4 linked regions of the Drosophila melanogaster genome follow. The protein of the gene in region 4 interacts with the protein of the main gene of each other region in a pairwise test. Each region holds a gene or a part of one and is shown on either strand. Other genes may lie near its edges.

Region 1 (5,281 bases), on a different chromosome or scaffold from region 4:
CGAAGGGCTGCAGCATGACGATTCCTACCCGTACGTCGGTGGCTACCAGAGCGTTGACTCTGTCAAGGAACTGGTCGGCGATCTGCTGGACACCGAGGAGTTCTGTGACGAATCCAAGTACATGATAGAATAGTATTACTACCGGGACAACTCACCGCACCACTAAGGGGCTGTCTCCACACAAGGATGGCCCCAAACTTCCCCACCCCGTACCATTTAGACAACCAGGCTAAGAAGCGTAGCTCTAAGAAATCGGTGTAAATAAAATGGAGATATTCGGATAGAAAGCTTATGAAATATTGGCTATTTTTTATGGAAAGTGGCTTTAAATAGAACATATATAGTAATGTGAATGGAATATTACTTAATGCGAATATTATTTGGGGAGCAATTGCGAAGAACCTTACAAACCCACAATAAGTAGTTAACAATGTGCATTTATATTCTAGCTACTTTAAAGGGATTTATTGTTTAACAATTCATTAGAAGAAATGAAAAGTTAATACATGTTTATTATATTGGTAAGTTATGCTTTATGCTTATATTACCTTAAACAATCTGAGGCCTTTGAATCTTTAGAAAAAATGATAAGGTAATAAATGTTTATTAGTTTAGTAACTTAAGCTGTTATATTACTTTAAACAAATTGAGGACTTTGATTCTTTAGAAGAAATTATACGATTGTAAATGTTTATTATTTTATGCTATTATATTACATTAAACAACTTGAGGACTTTGATTCTTTAGAAGAAATGATAAGGTAATAAATGCTTATTATTTCACTACCTTATGCTGTTATATTACTTTAAACAAATTGAGGACTTTGATTCTTTAGAAGAAATTATACGATTGTAAATGTTTATTATTTTATGCTATTATATTACATTAAACAACTTGAGGACTTTGATTCTTTAGAAGAAATGATAAGGTAATAAATGCTTATTATTTCACTACCTTATGCTGTTATATTACTTTAAACAAATTGAGGACTTTGAAGACATGTTTAAATAAAAATTGGTATACGTGAACTGCGAATAGCGAAATGCAAGAGCCACACGCATGTATCCGAAACTAAAGTCAGCATTTCGCAAAACAAATCAACTTTATTTGAAGGCTACCATTGAAAAATCTAGACTTCTTTACTCTTCAGCTTATTTTCAAGCACGTACTTAAGTTTAACTTTCAGCAACCGCACCAAACCAAGAAACAATAAAAAACGAAATTGTTTCTAAGCAAACTGTGTAAACAAAAGCACGGAGAGATGCTGTTTAGAGCGAATAAATGCCACGAGATCGAATTTTTGGCCATCCAGAACAACTGTGCAAACCAGGCACAGTGAACAACCAGTAAGAGAGACGTTTGAATTTTATCTAGTTTATTACAGTAATCGGTTTAGTCAAGTTAGTTAGGAAACACGCGAATGTGGCGTGCTTTTTTTGTGACCAGCCAGGTAGGGGTATAATTGTTCTAGGATGGTTCGTTCACGGCAGCCAGTGGACACTGTGCCGACGCGTACCGAACGTGGCCACGTTCTTGAACCGGTTTTGGCGGATCGCTCCGGCGGGGTCAACGTTTCGCCCTTTGGCGGACAACACCGGGACATTAACATAATTCATATTGATATAGTTGGTGTACAAAAAATTTCTAAATATATATATATAAATGTATCAAAATTTAGACGGTATGGGGATGCCGAGGGCGAGGAATTTGGGATCGGTTTTACAACACGCACACAACAGACTTTTAGATGGAACAATGAAACTTGAACATCGCAGAGCAGCGGCTAATCCTCAAAGGTGATGCGGCCGGGTCCGTGGTTCTTCATGTATCGCCTGTACGCCTTGTATCGTGGATTCTCCGCCAGCTTCTTTTTCATCTCCTCTTCCTGTTCTGCCTTCCAGGCGACGAAGTTCTCGCGCTTCCACAGCTTCAGATGCAGGTACTCCTCGATCAGCTTGTCCTCCTGCGCCTCGAACTGATGCTGGCCCATGCCCAGGTGCCGGCGGATGAGGTAGAGCTTCTGCTCGCGGCCATACGGCTGCTTCATTACCGTGTAGCGCCAGAACCACTGAGCGTGCCACACGATGAACGAGAGTATCGTGTAGGGGCAGATGATCAGCTGCACCCACAGCACATCCCAGAGTGTCGGCTTCGCATAGCCGCCCTTAACGTCCATCTTCTCCTCGATCACCCGCCGGATGATCCGTTCCAGCTCATCGCGCTGATCGTTCTTGGACATACGATTCTTGCCCTTCTTCTGGATCTTTTCCTGGATCTCGTCGCGAGCTATTTCCAGGGCCTGGTTCCTATACTTGGGCACCGTGGCAAAGTACTTGATGGCAGAATCGTAGCGCTGCCAGCCGGAATAGTACTGGATGACGGACACAATGGTTAGGACGACCACGATAACCACGCGCACATCCACCTTGGGCGCCACGCGTCGCCGGTAGTAGCGATAGTAATGCGCATAGTATGCATCCGGGTTGTCCAGCATGTAATCGTAGTCCGTGCGCGACTCCTCATCGCGCAGGATCTCGTAGGCGGTGGCCACCAGCTTAAACTGCGTCTCCGCCGCCGCCTTGGCCTCGGCACCCCGATGCAGATCTGGATGATAGCGCCTCGCCAGCTGGCGGTATGCTTTGCCGATCTCCGACTTGGACGACTCTCTGGTGACGCCCAGCACGTCGTAACAGTTTTCCTTGCCACAGTACAGGCCCTCTAGCAGGCCCAGGGCCATCGTGGGCAGCAGGGCCAAGAGCACCAACCGTAGTCCGTGCGTCCGCATCTTGGATAGCGCTTTCACCCTGGGGACACGTGTAGCTGCAGCTGGGGCGCACAGCTGGCACTCGTTGGCTGGGATCGGATCGGAGCGGATTGGTTGTGACTTGGATTGGTCCGCAGCAACTGGTGGCAGTGGCGGTCGCGCTGGCGCTGCTCGTCCGTCTGCTCGGCGTTTGGCACACTGAAAAGTTGGCCGCCGCTCGTTATCCAGGTTGACATTGGCCGATAACACCGATAACCGCGATAGCTCGCGGGTGGATAAGACCGTATGTTGGGGATATGGTCACTCTAAGTTAACTCATTTTACATTTTATTTTAGAGTCGCTAATTTGACGCACATTTATTTTACTTAAATTTCAGGCATAAAATCCATGCTTATACACCACGATTATTAACAGTTCGCCAAATACCGATTACACCCTCGTTAGGCTGCCTATCGAACTTATCGGTCCTAGCTGAACCTAGCTAAGCGTCAGTCTTGAACATTTGGATCCAAATATTCTGGATTTGCAATTTGCAAAGCGTCTGCATAGAATCTGGGCTTTAAAATGGACTTCAATTACCATGTGGATTCGGCACTTACCACTTTATTGGAAAACCAAAAGTTCTTCAAAGAAATGGCAGAAGGTAAGCCATGCGACACACTGAGACATCTTTAAAACCTACCCACAGTCGTGTCCGATTTCAGTGATGGCAGGGAGATCCAGAAGTTGTTGGACCAGAACGTGGATCTCGCCGAGAATCTCATCCGAATGAAGAGCAAGCACCAATTGCTCAGCAAGGCTATGAAGCATGCCAAAAACTCTAGCAACACCATCGAGAAGTTCGAGGAAGTCTGGAAGGAGCGCTCCGAAGCGGTGGAGCAGAAGCGCATCGATGTCAAGAACTCAGCCGAGTTCAAAAACTTCATGAAAGCGGCAGCTCCCCAGGCGGGTGCGGAAACAAATGGTCAAGCGAATAGCGCCGCCCATGACGAGGACCTTATCATGGAAGCCACCGGCGGCGAGGTCTTCTCGCTCTACGATCCCTGGTCCAAAGCCTTGATAAAGAACCCCGTGCGCAACAAAAAGTGCGGCCACATCTACGACCGCGACTCGGTGATGCTGATCATCACGGACAACATTGGTATTCGATGCCCAGTGCTCGGCTGTCCCAACAGGTCCTACATCCATCCAGCGCACCTGGTCAAGGACTCCAACCTACAGCAGAAGTTGCAAGAGCGCATGTCTGACGCGATCGAGAAAGAAACTTCCTCGGAGGAGGACGATGAACAGGCAGATCATTAATTATGCGCAACTTCCTTCTTGTCGACTAATAACGCAGCGTAAGATATCACGTTCTTGTAAGACAACCATTTGATGAAAATTTAAGGTACAACGAATAAACATGTTTTAAAAATAGTCCCGAAAAAATTTAGAGAAAATATATTAGAAGTGCAGTATGCACGTATGTATATAGTTTGCGATTTATTTAGAAAATTGGTACAAATGTAGAAACAAATGAATATATAGCACGATTGCCATCGAAATCATCGCCGAAACATTCTAGCGAGTCTTTGCCGCAGACGATCCACATCAGACTCATATGGCACCAATGGCACCTTGTCATTATCCGGATCGCTACTATCTTCAGAGGAGATCCAGACTGATTTACCATTGCTAAGCTTCGGCTCTGAATCCCCGCAAGCCATGGGGTCCTTCAGCATGGCTGCTTCCTCATTGTTTTTGGTTTTTTGCCGGAAAAAGCTTCCGGCATGGGTGCCTTGGTCAATGGGCCAGCTGTTGGCGACTTGCGCTGGAAATCTCTACAAATAACGAAGAATCTATCGGGAGCGGTGAACGGAATAATGAAATCGGTGAGCTCTATGAAGAATCGTAGGACTTCATTGTTTCGTTTAGAAAACCTATCAACTTGTATGCGTAAAGCATTTTCTTGAAATGGTCATCTTAAAAATGCTGTGCTTTGCAAATAGTTAAGTATTATCCGCTCGGATATGTGAATCAACTGAGGTCCTCACGCCAAATTATAAATGTGACTTGTAGACTGCAAAGTCATCGCCTTCTTTTTTGAGTTCTTGACACAAGCAAAAAGGGTTGCCATGGCGTTGTCATGCCCTTGGAGATAAAACCTCTAGACTCAAATATTCTTATTATGTTCCGCTGACATAATAAGTATTAGTGTTTTTATTTCATAATAAATTATGCAATTTACAGCATCGGAAATTGGTAGCTTCAGTATAATATTATCAAATATATTCAGTTTTATACCCGTTACTCGTGAAAGGGTATAGTAGATTTGTTAAAAAGTATGTAACTGGCAGAAGAAAGCGTTTCCGACCATATAAAGTATATATATTCTTGATCAGGAACAATAGCCGAGTCGATCTGATCATGTCCGTATGAACGCCGAAATCTGAGGAACTATAAAAGCTAGAAGGTTGAGATTAACCATACAGATTCTAGAGACATAGACGCAGCGCATGCCCATATTGCCACGCCCA
Region 2 (6,426 bases), on a different chromosome or scaffold from region 4:
TAATTCTCCATATGACGCTTCTCAAGCTTAATATATTTGAGTGAATTTTAAATGAATGTTTTCCACTTATGAACACGCTAGTTACACACAAGGTGTTAGGATTGAATCACCTCCTCGCAGAGCCAATACCAAGTGAAGAACGGATCCACCTTGCACTTTGTAGTCCGCCGCGGTTTTATCGTCATTCCTGGGGGGGATCGCATGCGAAATAAGCTAAAATCAATGACCAATAGCCAGAAAGACTCACATTTGCTTGCCGGAGAAAATAAGACGCTGTTGCTGGGGCGGAATGCCTTCCTTTTCCTCCACGCGCTCCTTGATGCGATCTACCTTGTCCGTGGGCTCAATGTCGATCTCGATTTCCTTGCCGGTCAGGGTCTAATGGAAAGATAATACATATTTACATTAATAATCCAGCCACACATATATTGACTGTAATATTCGACGATTTTGTTGTTGTTCAAAGTGCCCGCTGGGCACGATGGCTGTGATTTATCTTTATCCTACTTTTTTGCTACTCCATATCTTCCACACTAACCTTCACTTTGATCAACATTTTGTGTGTATTTAACTAGGCGCTCCTGTACAAATTCAAAATTGCCGAAATTTTTGCAAATCTCCACAGCTGGTTCTCTTTTTTGGCTGTCACTTTCGGCGTTGGTACGACTGGCAACTATCGATAGTACTGTCGATGACCATCGATTGTTTTCCACACTATTACAAATATAGTATTTTCTCCATCATTCCATCTCTACACAATTCACGTGTAAAAAAATACATTTCGAAAAAGGAGAACTTAATTTATGTAAATTTTTTGTAGCTTGATTTATAGTGTGCCCATTACGGTTAGAAGTCTCACATATTTAGAATTCAAATTCTCCTTAAATTATTTTACTCATGAGATGCAAAAATCCATTGAATGCCATTACTACATTTTTTAACTTTTGAAAAAAATGGAAGGCGTCACTTTTGAGGGATTTGAATTAAGAGCAATTTGTTTATTAATGTTTTATCTCGGATCTTAGAAAATTAAAAAGTATTTTTTTGTCTTTTGTCTTTTCTGTTTTATTAAAATAAGTTGTATGCCTTAATAACTAAATACATTTATTTACAGTACTAAATGGATAACTACTTTGTTCTTTTCGAAGGTACTGAGATCCCCAGCTTAGAAGTTCATCCCTATGAGAGCTTCTTCAGTTTGTTCCAGTCGCGAATGGCCTCCCCGATGTGGCGTATATCCCTCGCATAAGTGCGACAGCATCCCCCAATGACCTTGGCCCCCAGTTGCGCCCACTCCGGAACGTAGTTCGCCAAGGGCACACAGTGCTCCCTTCCCTGCCAGCCGTTGACCACGTCGTATACCTCTCCGCTATTGGGGTACACCACCAACGGTATCTGCTCACCCACTTCGCGGTCACCATTCAAACTCTTAAAGAGCGGGGTCACAAACTTCGGATGCACACAATTTACTCCGATGGCCAGGCACTTATCCTGGGCATTTCGTTCAGCCAAGAGGTCCCAAATAGCATTCGCCGCGTCCGCAAAGGTTTCTCCATGCGCCAGGGTATTCTCATCCTTGCACTGGAAGGCCACCCAGAACTTCACATCCGGATAATCATCGCACAGCATCTCCACCAGGGCCTCCGCCTCCATTTGACAGGGAATCGTCTCGATGGCCAGCGCATCCACACCAGCCTCCAAGCACGCTTCGATCCTCACGCGATGCCAGTCCGTAATCTCCTTGGCCGGCACAAAGTCGGCATAGCTACCGGTGTACTCGGAGCCATCGTGCAGGTGGGCCCCAAAGGGTCCAATGGAGGCAATGATCAAAGGGTATCCTTTAAAAACAATAAATTGGAATATATAATTGGTAAATATTACTATATATAAAATAAAGTATTAAAGAAAGTATTAAAAGTAATGACCCTACCACATCATTCACTTGACCACAATCTAAATTAATCCCGCCCGAGCTGGACCTCATGGATGTCAACTTACCCTCCTGCACCGACAGCTGCGCCTGATAGCACTCGGTGAGATAGCGTTCCTTGGCGATGTGGGCCAGGCGGACCGTGTTCTTTATCAGCTCGATGCTCTGCTCCTCGTCCAGCTCCAGGTACTCCATGTAACCATCGACACTGGACTGGTAGGTGTTGGTCAAAATGATATCGGCACCATCTGGTGTTGTCAAGGGGAAAATTCAGTTAGTATGTTGCCAATTGCTACCGGAAAACAATTGCTTACTCTGCAAAAAGTCCAGGTGGGTGCTGATAATGGCCGCCGGATTGGTGGCATTGAAGCGGGCACTCCATAGCGGATCCCCATCCACAGAGTCACCCACATGGACGGTCATCTGGGTGCCGAAACCGCCATCCTTCACCAGCACGCGCGTCAAACCCATGATTGAAAGATTACTAAGAGGGGTGGAGGATGATCCGTTGAAAATTGATTATTAGTTACATTTCTACGTCAGCGGGCTGCGAGATAATTAAATATGTATATTGCGTCTGCCACCTGGATTCCACTGCACTCAGGGCGATGTTATACAATGTATCGGAAGAACTAATCTCTATTTTTCAGTTCAACGAACTTGGCAGAACAAAAGACCAGTGGCTTAATCTAAAAAACACACTGAGAAAAACAGCTCAAAGTTCTTTAGCTAAGATATATGTTATATGAGTCTTATGATTTATTATAAAAAAGATTTAATTCTAGGAGTATTCAGCTTTCACTGAATAGTATACAAATTTAAAACCAAGGTCACATTTTTACGTATCTCAATAAATGGCGAGTTAAAAGCCTGAAACATTTTATTCTGTATACGCTAAATTCAAAATATACATCAGCTCTTTAAAATTTGGCAACAATTTTTGAGAAATATATATCTTTTAAAGTGAATCATTTATTACGTTTCAAGATCTATTCTTGTTCCAAATTAAAAAATATATTAATATTTAATATATGTAAGTATTCCAAGCATAACATTTTTAGATTGCTTATAAGATCCCTTTGTTGCACTTTTAAGCATACTCCTTGGATAGTGTATACACCGTCTGTCATCAAAATCTATCGGTAGGGAAGCGAAAAACACACGATAAGGTCTCGCACTCACCTTGACAGCTTGTTTATGGATCTTGTAAATGGGCAAATTCAATAACAACTTTATTAGACACTAGACTGGCTGGTTGGTTATCAAGTGGTTATCACAAATCTTTCGGAACGGTGGATATGATCAGTCGCAATGGACGCTCGACGAACGTTTAAATGTTTCACGTATCGTCGAGGGGCTTTTATACTTTCCGAAGGGCCACTCAGCTGTGCGGCTCGGCTTATCAGGGCGAAATTTATAATATTTATAATAATTTATAACAAAACAAAACGGCAAACACAAACATGAGAGTGCCCCCACCAAGTGGGTGATAAGCCCGGTGCACAGCTGCCAGACGCTGGCCAGCCAGATTGGATTGTCCGGGTGGACTGCGACTCCCCCTCCACGAGGCTGATGAAGCTGATGAAATCGTCAAAGCGCCGCTGTGCGTGGTTCTGGCTTCCGAGTGACTCTGCTCGGGATGTCGCATCTGCTAAGTCGACGCCGATAACCTCTGGACGCCGCCTAGGACCAACACTTCAAGATGTACTTGGTTGTTGACTCTGTCCTCCTTAAAGGAAAATGGGTGAGCTTCCGACCGCACTCAATAGATTATGGTCCAAAAATAGGTCTACTGATGTCAAAGAGAAAAACAACATTTAACCCCTATTCTGGTAAACAAATCGCTAATGAACAGGAAATAAGACATAAGATATATCAAATAAAATCTCCTCTAAAAGAGATGAGCTTAAAGTGATGATTGTTATTAATATTTGGACAAAAAAAAAATAAATAAATAAATAAATAAATAAAGTAAAATGTAAAGTAAGAGATTGACCGACAAAAGGCTTTCAATTTGAAAATGGCCGTTAAAATCATGTTTTTTGAACGAAGTATCCGATTAGGCTGATTGCCAGATTGGGTCAGAGTGCAATAGGTGGACATGTGGCTCCACCATCCTCAAAAGCTTCAACAGCCAAAAATGTAAGTACTCTTTTAAAAATGCGGTATGAAGTTCCAAAAAATTTTGAAATATCTTTCATAGTGATAAAGTCGAGAACCGCAAGAATAGAAGGGCATACCCTTCTCTATAAAGTACCTTGCGTACCAGAAGGCGTTTGCCTTGGTACATATGTAAGAAGTGATTAGATTTGATGAATCTCTAATGAAGATATTATTTTAATACTGTACTAAAAATATGATATATTGAAGATAACTAAAACAACTATTTTTGATATTTTTGTAGTTTATTGCTTTACATCAGTACATACATACACACTTTTAACAATATTAATTTTAAAGAATTTAAATCCGGCTATAAAGAATAGAAAGCTAAGAACACAGCAAGTTTTTCAAAGGACAAATGCACGTTTTTGTGTTATAATTGAATAGAAAATTGTTTTGATTTGGACTCAAAAATTGAGCTAGGTTGGCAAAAACAGTCGTTGGGCGAACGTCTGCCCATATCCCCAGCCCACTTGTTTACCTTTGGTCCGCCCGCCTAATCTGTGTTTGTCTCCCAGCCAGCCGTCCACGCTTTTTTCCACACTCTGCTGATTAGGAAGCCATCTGATCTGGGTACATCTAGTACTCGCGTATATGTATTTAGCAAACTAAATAGGTCTAGGTCTAGTCACACGAAACAGCTTTCGCATTAGCGACAAGGCTGCTATCAGTGACCGGAGTTCTCTCCCGATTACGGCTTTATGTTGAGGCCATCGACGTACTTGCGGATCGCCAACACGTCCGTCGGATAGACCCGGCAACAGCCGCCAACGATGCGCACTCCCAGCTGGATCCACTCGGGCACAAACTTGACCACCTCCTCGCCGGTTCCAGTCCAATCTCCCTGCTCGACGTCGTAGATCTCGCCGCGATTGCTGTAGACCACCAGTGGGATGCGATCCGAACCGGCCACTTTGGTAAGCGATGATAGCAAAGGGGTCACGAATAGTGGGTTTACACAGTTCAGACCGATCCCAAGGAGCCGGTTCTCAGCCTTCCGACTTTGGACCAACCGCCAGAGGGAGAGAGCCGCCTCCGCGAAGTTTTCTCCACTAGCCATGTGCTTTTCATCCTGAAAATATCGGAACATAAAGTGGATTTTTAAATGTAATTGAACGATATATTTTTTACCCTTGTTTTGTATAAAGAATGTTATTGTTTTTTGCGATATTACTCACCATGCACTGCAGGGAGACCCAGAATTTGGCATCCGGAAAGTTGTCCAGTACTAATTCGGTGACTGCCTCTGCCTCCATCAGACATGGAAGTGTTTCCAGGGCCAATCCATCCACTCCAGCTGCGAGACAAATCTCAATTCTTGTCTTGTGCCACGCCCTCAGCTCCTCCTTGGACATCTTGTCCGCATAGTTGCCGGTGTACTCAGATCCATCGTGGAGATAGGCGCCATATGGACCTATTGAGCCCATGATCAGTGGAAGAGCCGACTCCGCTTCAGAACCGATTTCGCTAAGGTACTGTTCCTTTGCCTGCTTGGCCAGTTGAACGCTCTTTTGGATCAACTCCACACCTCGTTCTCTGGTCACGCCCAGGTACTTCACGAATCCCTCGACGCTGGACTGATACGTGTTGGTTAGAATAATATCCGCTCCGTTGCGAAGAAAGTCCAGATGTGTTTGGATCACAGCTTCCGGATTGGTGGCATCGAATCGCGATCCCCACAGTGGATCACCGTCCACTTTTTCGGTGACATTCTTGGCCAATTGCGAGGAGAATCCTCCGCATTTGACCAGAATTGGCTTGGTGTCCCAGTTCCATTTTTGATTCACTTCCATGTCTTCACTGCTGTACGTTTTCCGTTAAACTGCAAATTTCTGGAAGCGTACAATGCGATACGACAAAATTTCGTATCTGACAGATACGTGATATTGTAAGTATTGCCGACTTGGAATTTTTGTTATTTTTGTCGGATTTTTTCGCTTGGGCTGGCAACTTTTTCCGCTTATCTTGTATGAGTTTCCACAACGCAAAAACCTACACATACCCTAACACATCTCAGCTGTTCTTTGTTTACGAGTGCAGTGAGCACTCGATAAGTTGGAATTCTAAGAAATGTGTCTTGAATTTTGTAGCTAGCTACATAGCTACATATAATATAATAAAATAATAATATAGTTATCTAATAAAGAATCAAAGATGTTTCGAAACAAGTAGGAATCAAGTTATGTTCAGTTCCTACTGTAAAAATGTAAAAATTCAATGGCATTTAATGTCACAAAGGTACTAAAATAGCAACAAGCGGTTGACGAGAAGAAAAACTTGTATGAGGTACTTAACCGCAACATTATATATACATTTTTTTCGATAAGCAACAG
Region 3 (6,576 bases), on a different chromosome or scaffold from region 4:
TTTTGCTTTTTTTAATTGGTCTGTTTTCATTTCATTTAATTTAGTTAGAGCGTATTTTTAAATCGAACATCCAACATATAGATTCTAAAATTGGCACACATCGCTTGTTTGTTCTTTACAAAATATGTTTGCTTGACCTGATCTTATTCATTGAAAAGTTTATGAATTATATATTTTAACTTTAAACTGGAAAGTGCATTGATTTAATGTGTTAAATACATTTAAGTTTATAATAGGAAGCTCTTACTATTCTGGTCACTAAAATCTAAAATTGAAAAGAACATATTTCAGAATTTTAACTGTTTTCTTGCATCATACACAGTAGAAAAAAAATGCAAGTGACACAGCCAACAATAGCTTATTATTTAAGATTGCACCGATTGCAATCAATTCAAATTATTCGACACTTTGGATACGCTGTTCATTCATATAATCCCAGGGCCATCGTTCTTGTCTGAAATCAAATATTTTTCCAGATCTTGGATAATGTTTATGTTATTCCTGATCTATGCAGATATTAGCCACAGTTCCCCGTAAACATCGCCCCAGAAAGCTAACCTATAGATAGACATATAGAAGATATTTAAACAAATACATATACATACTTTAATATATATATATATATATATATATTTTTTATATCGGGCATCTTCGTGCATACGATCGGCACTAAAAACCGAAGGCTACAGACGAATAGCGCCCACACAAAACGTCCAAAAATAGAACAACAAAAATTCGAAACTGTGCTATTTGTTATTCCCTGATTTTCGAATATTCTGACTTGCCTTTCTAACATTCTGATATTCGGACATTCAGAAGATGATGCGAATTGAAATTTACTTGAATACGGCATACGGCATACCCGACTTTCCACCCACTTTCACGCCCACATATGTATATATCTGCACATGTCCGTACTTCTGGTCTACGGATCACTGAGCTATTTGGCCCGATGTTTGCAATAGGTTCGTAGTTGTTTATTGAACGGAGGATGTTATGTGAATCCAGCCAGATGGCAGGCAAAAATTGGAAGCAGCTAAAAAAGCGCTTACAGATGTCGTTTATATCTGGACAGAACACGCCCGTACCATTTCATGCACTAAATCCCAGATAACTCGAACTGCCCACCTGTGTCCCATTGCGATTCTGTAGTTTTGTGGTTTTTGGCAAGCCATGCATAATACCTAGACCCATACATATCACATACACATACATATCTAATTATCTATGCATACATATCTATCTATCTGCGTATCTGGTGTGTGCATTTTGCATTTCGCAGAGGTGCAGATACAAAAATGTTCTAAATTTAAGATACTTGGTAACCAAAAACGAAATCAAAACAAATGCCGAAACTTTGCGACTATATAGTAATTTTACTATTGGAGAATATTGTAATATATATAATTTTAAAATAATATTCATCGCATGTTTTTAATTTACACAGAAGTCTATTTATTTGAACAACTTGTTTATGCAAGGAATTAAGAGAAGTCTTAAATTAATTTTTCTATAATCATATATAATGTAATGTAATCATAATATAATGTAATGTAATCATATATAATGTAATCATGTATGTATAAAAATTTTTACCCAGATTTTGAGGAACTTTGAGATAGCCCAAATATTTTTTTTTGCAGTATTAATAATTTAAGAAGATACAAGTGCAAGCGAAAAACTAAAAATTTTTTTTTTTTTTTATATTCTTCTAGAATTTATATCTAATTTTATGAAAAATTTGGCAAAAAAAAAAACAACGGAAATCGATGTTGATGAAAGTACATTTTTAAAATATTGTAAGTTTTTGCTTTATTTTAATTTTATTAATACTAGAATACAGAAACAAAATTAAATACAGAACAAAATATGTTTCACTACCCTTACTTAATACAAATATTTCTTATGTGTTATGATGTTTATTAAACGATATGAAAAAATTAATTTTTTTGGCAAAATTTACATATAGGAAAAAGAGATTTTGTCAAATTCTTCAAATTGATTTTGTATGCTTCGAAAAAATAACCCAATAAAGAATGAATTAAATTCGATAGCTTAAAGTGCTGCAAGGCGCGTAAGTGTATCTGAAACTATTTGCCAAAAGTATCTGTTAGAAAGTAAAATAAAAAAAATAGCATAGAAAAAGGAGAGAAATAAAAAAAGAAAATCGGAACAATGACGAATAGATTCAAGTGTTAGACAAATGGCAATGCGATGGGGCCACCTAAGGCCGTTCGACGTCAGCAGTTCGATCGCGATATAGATATAGGTAAATAAATATATATATATATATATATATATATAGGGGGTGATCGGTGATCGCGGCGGACTGGGTTGGAGATTTTGTAGGGCGTGCACTCTGGGGTTCAAATGCTGCAACGATCCGCTGAGGAATCCAAACTATATGTGCTATATATCGGCACGAACATCTGTACGTATATATTATAGAGCAATATATGCAGGCCGACTTTTTAATGGCTGTGAAATTTATGCTCTACGATATTTGATTCCAAAAACAAATGTGTAAAATGCCGCCAACGCACCGAACGTCCGTATGCGCTATATACTTATTGTATGATCTAGTTATGTGCGTGCGCCATTATGGTCTAATGTATAGTATATACTAATATCGTATGCCTCATCTCGCTCTGGCCAAAATGGAAAATTGGAAAACTCGACGGCGGCTGTGTGCGTGTACAAGTTTATGTTTCAGCTGCAGCCCACCTGAAAAATTCACCCAAAACACATCGAACACAGCCAACACAGGCAGGCGCACCCACCACCACCCACTTGTTGCCACATCGGCCAGCGATATGTGGCATATAGCGCTGGCCTGCTCGCACACATGGCCAGCTATTGGCTATATAGAAAGGCGATCGGTGTGTGCGTGGAAATGGCTTTTCCGCGAACGCGACGAAAAATTCTTTAACATAACGTGTAGCAGCGCTTTTCATCGTCAGTTTGGTTAGTCGAACCGCAGCATTCGCTCCTACGACGTCAGCTGCTCGGACTTCAATTCAATTTGTTTTTCTCCCTAAGTAAGTTTTTTTTTTTCTGTTTCTGCTCTACTGCTGCTTCACATCTCCTTCAAATGCTGCATCACCAAAAAAATAAAAAGAAAATATAAAATAAACTTGTGTGCCTAAAAACGAAAAGAAAGTTATCGAAAACGAGAAAACCGAATCCTTTGCGAATAAACCACGAACCACGAACATCAACAAAAGAAAGTTACGAATTGGAAAATCCTAGTGTTATATAACATTTTATTTTTTTTTTTGAAATTTTTTTAAAGTGCAATCTACGAACAAATAGTGCGAATAAATGACTTGAAAGCCACCAAAAAAACGAACTCTGAAGCCAACTTTTTCAAAAAATTTTTTTTTTTTAAACTTTTTTTTTTTATTATGGCTAAAGGCTAAAAATAATTTGAAAAAATTCGCCCAGGCATTGGCGGCGCCAAAAACAATATTCAACGGCAACTACAACAACAGGATTAGCCGCAGCAGCAACAACAACAACAAAATCAAAAGCAACAACAATGCCAGACAGGAATCTATACATATAAATATACATATACATATATGTATATCTTTTTGCTTTCTGAAAGTGTTATATGATCTGAGAGGAAAAGTTCTCAAATTTTTTTCGACGAATTTTAAAAATAAATTCGATTCGTATGTGTGCGCGAGCGAGTGTGTTTTTACCTTGGCAAAATGTCCAAGATACACACACACACACACACAGAGAAACACACACACACAGATACGTAGAGTGAAAACTTTTTTCAATAGCTTTCCGCGCAGGCGCCGATCAGATATGTTAAAGATATAGTAGGCGAAAACGAGACGGAACTATAGCCACCCACACAAGATCGATGGCGAATAGAGATCTGGAGATTTTTGGAGGATATATATAGGACTATAAATGGAAACAGGGCACAGATAGATTGAATTAAAGAAAGGGAAATTTGTAGAGTAAATTCGATAAGGATATAATGACAGGATATAAAAACAGCATATGACAGTTTTATGTTGCTAGGCAGGAAGTAGCTAACACTTACTCAAACTTTGAACTTGAAAAGACAAAAAGTAAGATTCAAAACCATGTTTTTGAAACTAACATGTATGATCAGTAACATTTTTGTATATGTAAGTGTGAAAAGACGATAGACGTATATTTCTGATAGTCTGTCGGATGATATTTAGATCATTACCAGTTTCAATTGAAAAGTTTGTTCAATTTTTCCAGAACTTTTCTCAATACATTTCACATCATTTCCAAGCACTTGCCCCAAAACTGACCCAGTTTATCTAAGGCTAAAAATACAAGCTCAGCAATTGCACTTCCACGCAAAAGTGCAAAGATTATAGAAATAGAATATTCATAATCATAGAAATTTCAAATAGCATATTAAATATATAAATTCGTGGCATAATAACTGGCATAGATATATACAGGCGATCTATGAATGGCATTTGATTTGATTTTCTTTTCATTACACACAAGTACGCCCAAATATATATCAATACATATACATATATAAATTGAAAAGCTTCTTTAGATTTTCCGATTTAGTGCCAAGGTAAAAAAAAAAACGAAAATTTTCAAAAAAGGCTTTGTCCGAAGCTTTTTGATGTTTTCGGAAGCTTTCGGCTCTCGGGAAATTCAATACTGCCCCAAAGTCTATTTTTAATTGAGAAAAAATCGGAGGAAAATGAAAAAACACACATACATAGATTGGACTACGACTCTCTCCTTCGCACACACACAGTTATAGATTGTGGATATAGATAGCATGGGAAATTAAATAATTTTAGAGCAGAGCGTACGGAATTTATCGTTTATTTTTTTCTTCTTGAATTTGAAAGATTATGATGTGAGGACGAGACATTGTTGCCGGCTATAAAAAGACAGGTCGCCCTGCCTACATATACACAGCGGAATCGCATATACATATATATTATATACATATATATAGGGGGAAAGATCCGTCTAAATATAGAGTTATCGCAGGGCGATCAAAGGCTGCTTCAAGTACAGTGAAACCCTGAATAGAAAATAGACAAGGGGTTATCAAAAAGGGCAATCATTTGTTGACTTGTTTGCACACCTGTATTTCGCTGTTCTATTGTTGTTGCTGCTTTGGCTAAAAAAGGGGTTATATTTAATAAGCATTATTTTTAATATCAATTGAATTCAAAAAGAAATATAATAATGGAACACATTCACGTTTTTGGTGTCTTTCCTATTCTATTACAATGGCTTCCTAATTTAATCTTAAATATATGCATTTGAAGACTAAACTAAACTTTTTATTTTCTATATATTGTTATTGCAGGTTTTTTCAACCCTAAACCGTAGCCATGTCCGACGATGAAGAGTACACGTAAGTAGAACCCATGGAATATGTAGGACAAGATGCAAATATTAAGTATACGACGCGTATGACCGCGAACAAGATTTAAAAGTGTGTAAAGTAAACAGATAACTTAAGTAAAGTAGCAAAGTTGAAGAGAAGTATTCGATGGTCTCGTTTGAACCCTTGTTGTTATACGTACTAACTAATTCAACGATCAGATTTTTGTGGATTCTTGTAAGAGAACTTTTTGTAATCACATTTACCAGTGGCACCTATTTTGATCTGTACTCCTTTCTATCTATTTCCACGCATTGTCATCCCTGAACCCGAACCGAAAAACCGACCACGATCCCAAAAACCTCCACAACCACAACCCATGAATCTGTTCGAACAACCGCTAATGTTGTCGTTTCGTTTCTTTTGAAATCAACAACTAATAACAATCAACAACTATTCAACAACAACCACACGACAATTCAACAACAAATCAACAATATCACCTCTGCACCCGTGTGCCGTGTGTAACCCTGCACTTTCACTCCAAAATATATATATAAAAAAAAACACCTTATTCAAAAATCTTAAACCAAAAAATATAAAAAAAAACCAAAATTCGTTTAATTACGAACTCGAAAGCAGCTCCGAGGAGGAGGAGGTTGTCGAGGAAACCCGCGAGGAGACGTAAGTACATTTTTGTTGCCGATTTTTGTCGACATCTTTTGTTGGTTTTGGTGCAGCAGCCTAAAGAACTCGATTGGTGTTCACTTATGTCTATCTTTTTTTTTTTTTTGTTTTTGCCCTAACTATAACAAATTTTTTGATTTTTTTCGAAACCGAACCTTGCCCACCATTTTGTATTCCAAATTTTCTATATGTGTTGTATTTTGTCAATGTCTGCAATATAAAAAACCACCCTTTTTTTAAAATTGGTAGAAATATGTATTCCCCAAAAAAGATTTGAAAAAAAAAAAACACCCAGAAACCCGAAACCAACCCAACATTTTTGTTTTGTGTACTCGTCTGTAAATAATTTTATTTGTTTATTAATTTATCTTTAGTTTTTATTTTTTATTCTGTTTTGTGTACATTTTTGTTATTTCTTTTGGTTTTTGTTTTCAATGTGTTGTTGTGTGTCTATAAAAACCAAAATTGAATTTAGAATTAAAAGTATACGATCACAAAATCAATATCCGATAATTGTACAAAATTTACTAATG
Region 4 (5,517 bases):
TGAGAACGAGCAGGAGAAGTACGTGAGACTCTTCATAGTGATCCCCAAAACAGCCACCGAGGAGGATATTCGCGAGGAATTCTCGCAGTGGGGCGATGTGGAATCTGTCACAATTGTCAAGGAGAAGAACAATGGCAATCCCAAGGGCTTCGGATATGTCCGCTTTACCAAGTGCGTGGCGAATGTAGCATTGCTAATTGTCCTAGCCATAACTAATCTAATCTCAATGCACAGGTTTTACTATGCAGCTGTGGCTTTCGAAAACTGCTCCGCCAAGTATAAAGCTGTCTTTGCCGAGCCAAAGGGTTCTACACGCACACAGCGTGACCAGTACGGCCGTCCCTCCGAGGACAATCCCTTGTATAGCAGCTCGGGACGTGGCAATTCCAATTTCAATGGAGGCGGTAGCAGCAGCGGTGGCGGCGGCAGCAACAGCTACAACAACGACTGGAATGTATCGCAGAACAACGACATGGCGGCCTTCCTGCGCATGCAGAATGTGCCAGTGGCCCAGCCATCCTGTCTGGAGGTTAACGTGAGCAACTGCGTCAACCAGGATCAGCTCTGGCGTCTCTTCGACATAATTCCCGGCTTGGATTACTGCCAAATCATGCGCGAACGTAAGTGACCAACCCAGTGTGGGTTTCAAACCCCTTTTGAACTACTTATATCTCCGTTGTAGATGGACCGCGCACCAATGAGGCCTTAGTGGTGTACGACAACCCAGAAGCCGCCATTTATGCCAAGTAAACAAAGCCCTAAAACTCATTTTCATGCAGGCTTTAAAACACTATTCTTCTTTAGGGACAAACTTCATGGCCTGGAGTACCCAATGGGCGAACGCATCATTGTCAAAGTCAATGGAATGAGCTCAGCTCGCATGGACACATCCTTCATAGACAGTACGCGAGTTAAACCTATCAAGGGCTACAGGCCGCGCCATCACCTGTAGCCATTTATTAAACGCTTTTGCTTGGTTTATTTCTTAGCACATTTTTGGCTTAAAATGCATGATATTTCCTATTTCTAGACTTAATGTGGTTTTTTATTTTAGAGCGAACCAAAAAGGATGCCATCTGCAATGTTCCCTTGCCCCCAACTCAGCCACTGGCATCGCCGGACGACCAGGTGGCCCAACGACTGTTCATTGTGCTCTCAGCGGTAGGTATCACTGTACCGTGTCCAATTACCATTAGCTATAAACGTTGTTTCTTTCCCATCTACTCAGAACTTGCCGCATTCGATATTGAAGAACATATTCTCTTGCTGGTCGGGACTGATCGACGTCTACCTTCTGCCCAACAAGAACTGTGGCTACGTCAAGTATGCGGAGGTTGAGAGTGCTCAATTGGCCATTCGTACCCTAAACGGAGCCGAAATTTGCGGCACCAAAATCAAGGTTTGTACCGTGTACTCATGTTCTGTTGCTGACAAGCAAGCAATTCTAATCAATTTTAAATTTTTATCTTACTTTAGGTCATGGAGGCTGAGGAGCGAAGTGGCTCCGACGGCGATGATGGCGGTCGCAAGCGATTGAGACGGAACTGAGTGTAAGTAGCTAGTTGAGTATGCATAAATTCCGTATCTATTAATGTAGCCATAATTGAACTGAGTGTGTGCCGTGGTACGAGGTAAGTAGCTGTGCAAATTCCAAACCGAAAACCTTTTAGCGATTTAAGACAATGTGCGCCTGCTGCACTTGCCCTGTGCACCGGTTGGCCATCGATGTCCACGATACCCATGCCGCCCACTGAGCGCGAACATAATAAGCCAAACCATTTTTATCTTTCTATCTCCACAGACCCACTGACAACCAAGAACTTACAGAGAACGCAATGTACGAAAACGTAACTAACTTGAGCATACAGTCCGATAAAAACAGTTGAACTGACCACCAACCACCAAACAACGCAACAACCAACCAATAACCAAACAAGAACCACCACCACAACAACACTCTCCGTACGGAATGCCACATGAACCAGAACCACGGGGACTGGAGAACGCAGACTGGAAACGGAAACTGCGAACGAAGACCATACCCGGGTGAACAAACCAAACAGGCCAACGAAATCACCACACCCGTTGACTACTCTCTACCAATTGACTAACTCAAGTGGGTCTCGTACAGAGCACTCGTAGAAAGACCCATAACCCATACGACCTTTAAACGGAGCCAACGAAACCGCAATGCTCTTGCTATATACACAATATATGCATAGTGTCGTATATATGTGTACTCATACCGCTTAGGGGACTTTTGAATCTACCCGTGATACAGAAACGAACTCTCTGTGTAACTTGAACTCTTACAAACTTATTCCGACGAGATTCAGCCAAGCAATAAATTCAAACGCAATGAATTTCTTAAGAGTATCAACTCTGTCTCGTAAATTCACGCTAAGCCACAGCGTGAAAAATTATTCTTTTCATATATTAGATTTAAATAAACGATATTCTACTGTATAAGGCCAACAATAAATACACTTAAATGGAATAATGTTTTTTTTTTCTTTGGAAGCGAAATGGGAAACAAATTAATTCTCGCTATGCAGATTTTCCATATATATATAATAAATTTTTTTTTAAAAGCGAATGGACTTTTTGAAAGGTCGTTAAATGAACCAGTTCCGAAATGTACAACTTCAGTGTCGCAGCCCTGGTAAGTTCCGGTTCCACGGACAGCTGAGCAGGCATTGTTTAGATTTTGTAAATTGTTGATTTCTCGCAGCAGAAAGTTTTTTTTCGTAGAGCTAAATAATAAAAAAAAACATTCGAAATGGATCCAGCACTGCTTCGCGAACGCGAGGCCTTCAAAAAGCGGGCGATGGCCACGCCCACGTGAGTACCGCACTTGTGGCCCCTCTGATAAAGATTGCTTCTCGAAAATTACATGCTATCCTTTTAAAATAGCGTGGAAAAGAAGTCCAAGCCCGATAGACCAGCTCCACCGCCGCCTAGCGATGATTCCAGGCGCAAAATGCGCCCGCCCAATGCTCCCAGGCTGGATGCCACAACGTAAGTTCCTTGAGAGCCTCTGCTACTGCCAGAAATGGTTCTTAACCATGTGGAACTCTTGCATTCCATACTTAGATACAAGACCATGTCCGGCAGTTCCCAGTACCGCTTTGGAGTGCTGGCCAAGATTGTGAAATTCATGCGCACACGTCACCAGGACGGCGACGACCATCCCCTGACCATCGATGAGATTCTGGACGAGACCAACCAGCTGGACATTGGGCAATCCGTTAAGAATGTTAGCTACAGTGCGTGATAAGTTGTGGCAGGTTATTAAACCATTATTCCTCTATTTTAGTGGCTTGCTAGCGAGGCTCTGCACAACAATCCCAAGGTGGAAGCCAGTCCATGTGGCACCAAGTTCAGTTTCAAGCCAGTCTACAAGATCAAGGATGGCAAAACGCTGATGCGTCTGCTCAAGCAACATGATTTAAAGGGCCTGGGCGGCATTTTGCTGGACGATGTCCAGGAATCTCTACCACACTGCGAAAAGGTGCTGAAGAACCGATCAGCCGAAATACTTTTTGTTGTTAGACCCATTGACAAAAAGAAGATTTTATTTTACAATGACAGGACTGCTAATTTTTCGGTGGGTTATAAACACACTCTTCTAAAATCCCAGCCTAATCAATTGTACCGTCTCAGGTGGACGACGAGTTCCAGAAGCTATGGCGCTCGGCTACGGTCGATGCAATGGACGACGCCAAGATTGACGAGTACCTCGAGAAGCAGGGCATTCGCTCCATGCAGGACCATGGCCTCAAGAAAGCAATTCCCAAGCGCAAGAAGGCGGCCAACAAGAAGCGGCAGTTCAAGAAGCCCAGAGACAACGAACATTTGGCCGACGTTCTGGAGGTCTACGAGGATAACACACTAACGCTGAAGGGTGTGAACCCAACGTAGAATAGAGACATTAGATTATACAAATAAAAACCACTCTCAATGGAATTAAGTACACTCGAAACTGGATGTTATAAATTTGTTTAACCACTGCCAATCTAATTAAGAATCCGCTGTGGCCGAAATCTCATTCCTCAAGATTTATAGTACCAGATTGCTGTTCTGCCTGTGGCATTGAACTTAAAAATATGACGACCGGCACAGGGAAAGATAATTAAAAAGCAAAACTATGTAATCTTTTCCTGACATTCCCCATTGCTTTCCACACCTGATGGCTGGTGGTGTGCGTGTACGAGGGCCAGAATCGATGCTGGTGGGCAGTTAAATTGGCAACAGAGGGAAGCCGTAGCTTTAGTCTGCACTGAACAGCAGCCAAGTTCAGTTGGAATCGATTTGGAATAACCTATATTTTGGTACGGCGGTTGTGCGGGCTTATCAGGAAAATTATCTATATATTGGACTCTACAAATCTAAAAAAAGATTGTGTTGCTATTTGTAATCTATTAAGATTATAACAAGAGATCCGATATTCAGTATAGACAAAAATATAGCTCATACGACTCGTAAATCAGTCATATTGCAAACTATCGTTCGTCCTCTAACTTGTTCAATTTAAAAGATAGGGTATTCATAAGTGGACTTGCATGAAATCCGATTCTTTGTTTACTTGGCTTGACTCTTTGGCACGGACAATGAGCTCTCTACTCGGCGGCAAAAACTTGTTTTGAAATACTCAATTTGTTTAATTATCATTCCCGAAGCATTCGCCAGTTGGTTTTGAGAGTTTCTGTGCTGAGGTTGACGAAATGAAGTCGACGCGGACTGCACTTGGAGTGGCCCTGCTCCTGGCCCTGGTGTCTCAACTGGCGGCCCACAGCTCGGAGTGAGTAAATCAAACCTCGTATGCTATATAGATTAGGTCACTGACTTTCTCTTTGACTTGATTCCCGCATCCAGTGACTTGGTTTACGGCTACGAGTGCCGCAGTGGCTACTGCCAGAAGGTAGAGCTCAGCGAGGAGAACTACGTCAAGGCCATCAGTCTGCCCGTGTGCCGGCTCTTCTGCGGCAGCTCCATCGGCACCTTGTGGCCCAAACCGACGGGCACTGTGCGTCTGGACACGTTGATGCGCCAAGTGGACATCTCCTTCATTGATTTCAATTTCAATGGAATTGCCCGCCAGCAGAAGCTATGGCGAGCGGTTGAAGACCGTTTCATGAACATGCTCGAAGCCCAGATTCCGGATCGCAAGGTTCTGGCACGAGGTGGCTACCGTATGTCTGTGAACATCAATACTCCGGATGAGCCGACACCGGCCAGACTCACCCTGGATACGGATGAGAGCTATACGCTGGACATTGATACGGATGCCTCGGGTCATGTGCTGGCCAACATAACCGCGTCCAACTTCTTTGGAGCCCGTCATGGCCTGGAGACACTAGCCCAGTTGATTGTCTACGATGACATCCGCCGCGAGGTTCAGGTGACTGCCAATGCCACCATCAACGATGCTCCCGTGTACAAATGGCGTGGATTGCTCCTGGACACCTCCCGTAACTACTACTCTGTGAAGTCCATCAAGAGGACGTTGGGTAAGGC

The links.
Region 1: the proteins of TfIIEbeta (region 4) and cerv interact in a two-hybrid assay, tested with the Drosophila melanogaster proteins (one large-scale study listed by BioGRID).
Region 2: the proteins of TfIIEbeta (region 4) and CG10621 interact in a two-hybrid assay, tested with the Drosophila melanogaster proteins (one large-scale study listed by BioGRID).
Region 3: the proteins of TfIIEbeta (region 4) and up interact in a two-hybrid assay, tested with the Drosophila melanogaster proteins (one large-scale study listed by BioGRID).

What each region holds. Positions count from the first base shown.
Region 1 is NC_004354.4:15,575,938-15,581,218, reverse strand, and holds cerv (cervantes), read left to right. Parts: upstream 1-3,047; 5' UTR 3,048-3,329; coding exon 3,330-3,408; intron 3,409-3,453; coding exon 3,454-4,067; 3' UTR 4,068-4,233; downstream 4,234-5,281. Other genes in the region: CG9215 (uncharacterized protein), read left to right, coding at 1-133; CG7872 (uncharacterized protein), read right to left, coding at 1,784-2,785.
Region 2 is NT_033779.5:18,951,160-18,957,585, forward strand, and holds CG10621 (uncharacterized protein), read right to left. Parts: upstream 3,273-6,426; 5' UTR 3,113-3,272; intron 2,632-3,112; exon of another isoform or gene 2,415-2,631; 5' UTR 2,402-2,414; coding exon 2,245-2,401; intron 2,179-2,244; coding exon 1,999-2,178; intron 1,839-1,998; coding exon 1,180-1,838; 3' UTR 1,047-1,179; downstream 1-1,046. Other genes in the region: Nedd8 ubiquitin like modifier, read right to left, coding at 82-187, 248-378, 539-556; Bhmt (Betaine-homocysteine S-methyltransferase), read right to left, coding at 4,785-5,165, 5,272-5,886.
Region 3 is NC_004354.4:13,598,880-13,605,455, reverse strand, and holds the start of up (upheld), read left to right. Parts: upstream 1-2,877; 5' UTR 2,878-3,038; intron 3,039-3,090; exon of another isoform or gene 3,091-3,227; intron 3,228-3,801; exon of another isoform or gene 3,802-4,088; intron 4,089-5,338; 5' UTR 5,339-5,363; coding exon 5,364-5,386; intron 5,387-5,675; exon of another isoform or gene 5,676-5,995; coding exon of another isoform or gene 5,996-5,998; coding exon 5,999-6,040; coding exon of another isoform or gene 6,041-6,044; intron 6,045-6,576. UniProt on the Drosophila melanogaster protein: Troponin T is the tropomyosin-binding subunit of troponin, the thin filament regulatory complex which confers calcium-sensitivity to striated muscle actomyosin ATPase activity.
Region 4 is NT_037436.4:4,284,371-4,289,887, forward strand, and holds TfIIEbeta (transcription factor IIEbeta), read left to right. Parts: upstream 1-2,667; 5' UTR 2,668-2,779; coding exon 2,780-2,841; exon of another isoform or gene 2,842-2,913; coding exon 2,914-3,018; intron 3,019-3,093; coding exon 3,094-3,256; intron 3,257-3,316; coding exon 3,317-3,607; intron 3,608-3,663; coding exon 3,664-3,921; 3' UTR 3,922-3,979; downstream 3,980-5,517. Other genes in the region: CG1316 (uncharacterized protein), read left to right, coding at 1-171, 235-620, 683-746, 805-902, 1,055-1,161, 1,229-1,399, 1,477-1,548; Hexo1 (hexosaminidase 1), read left to right, coding at 4,725-4,801, 4,876-5,510.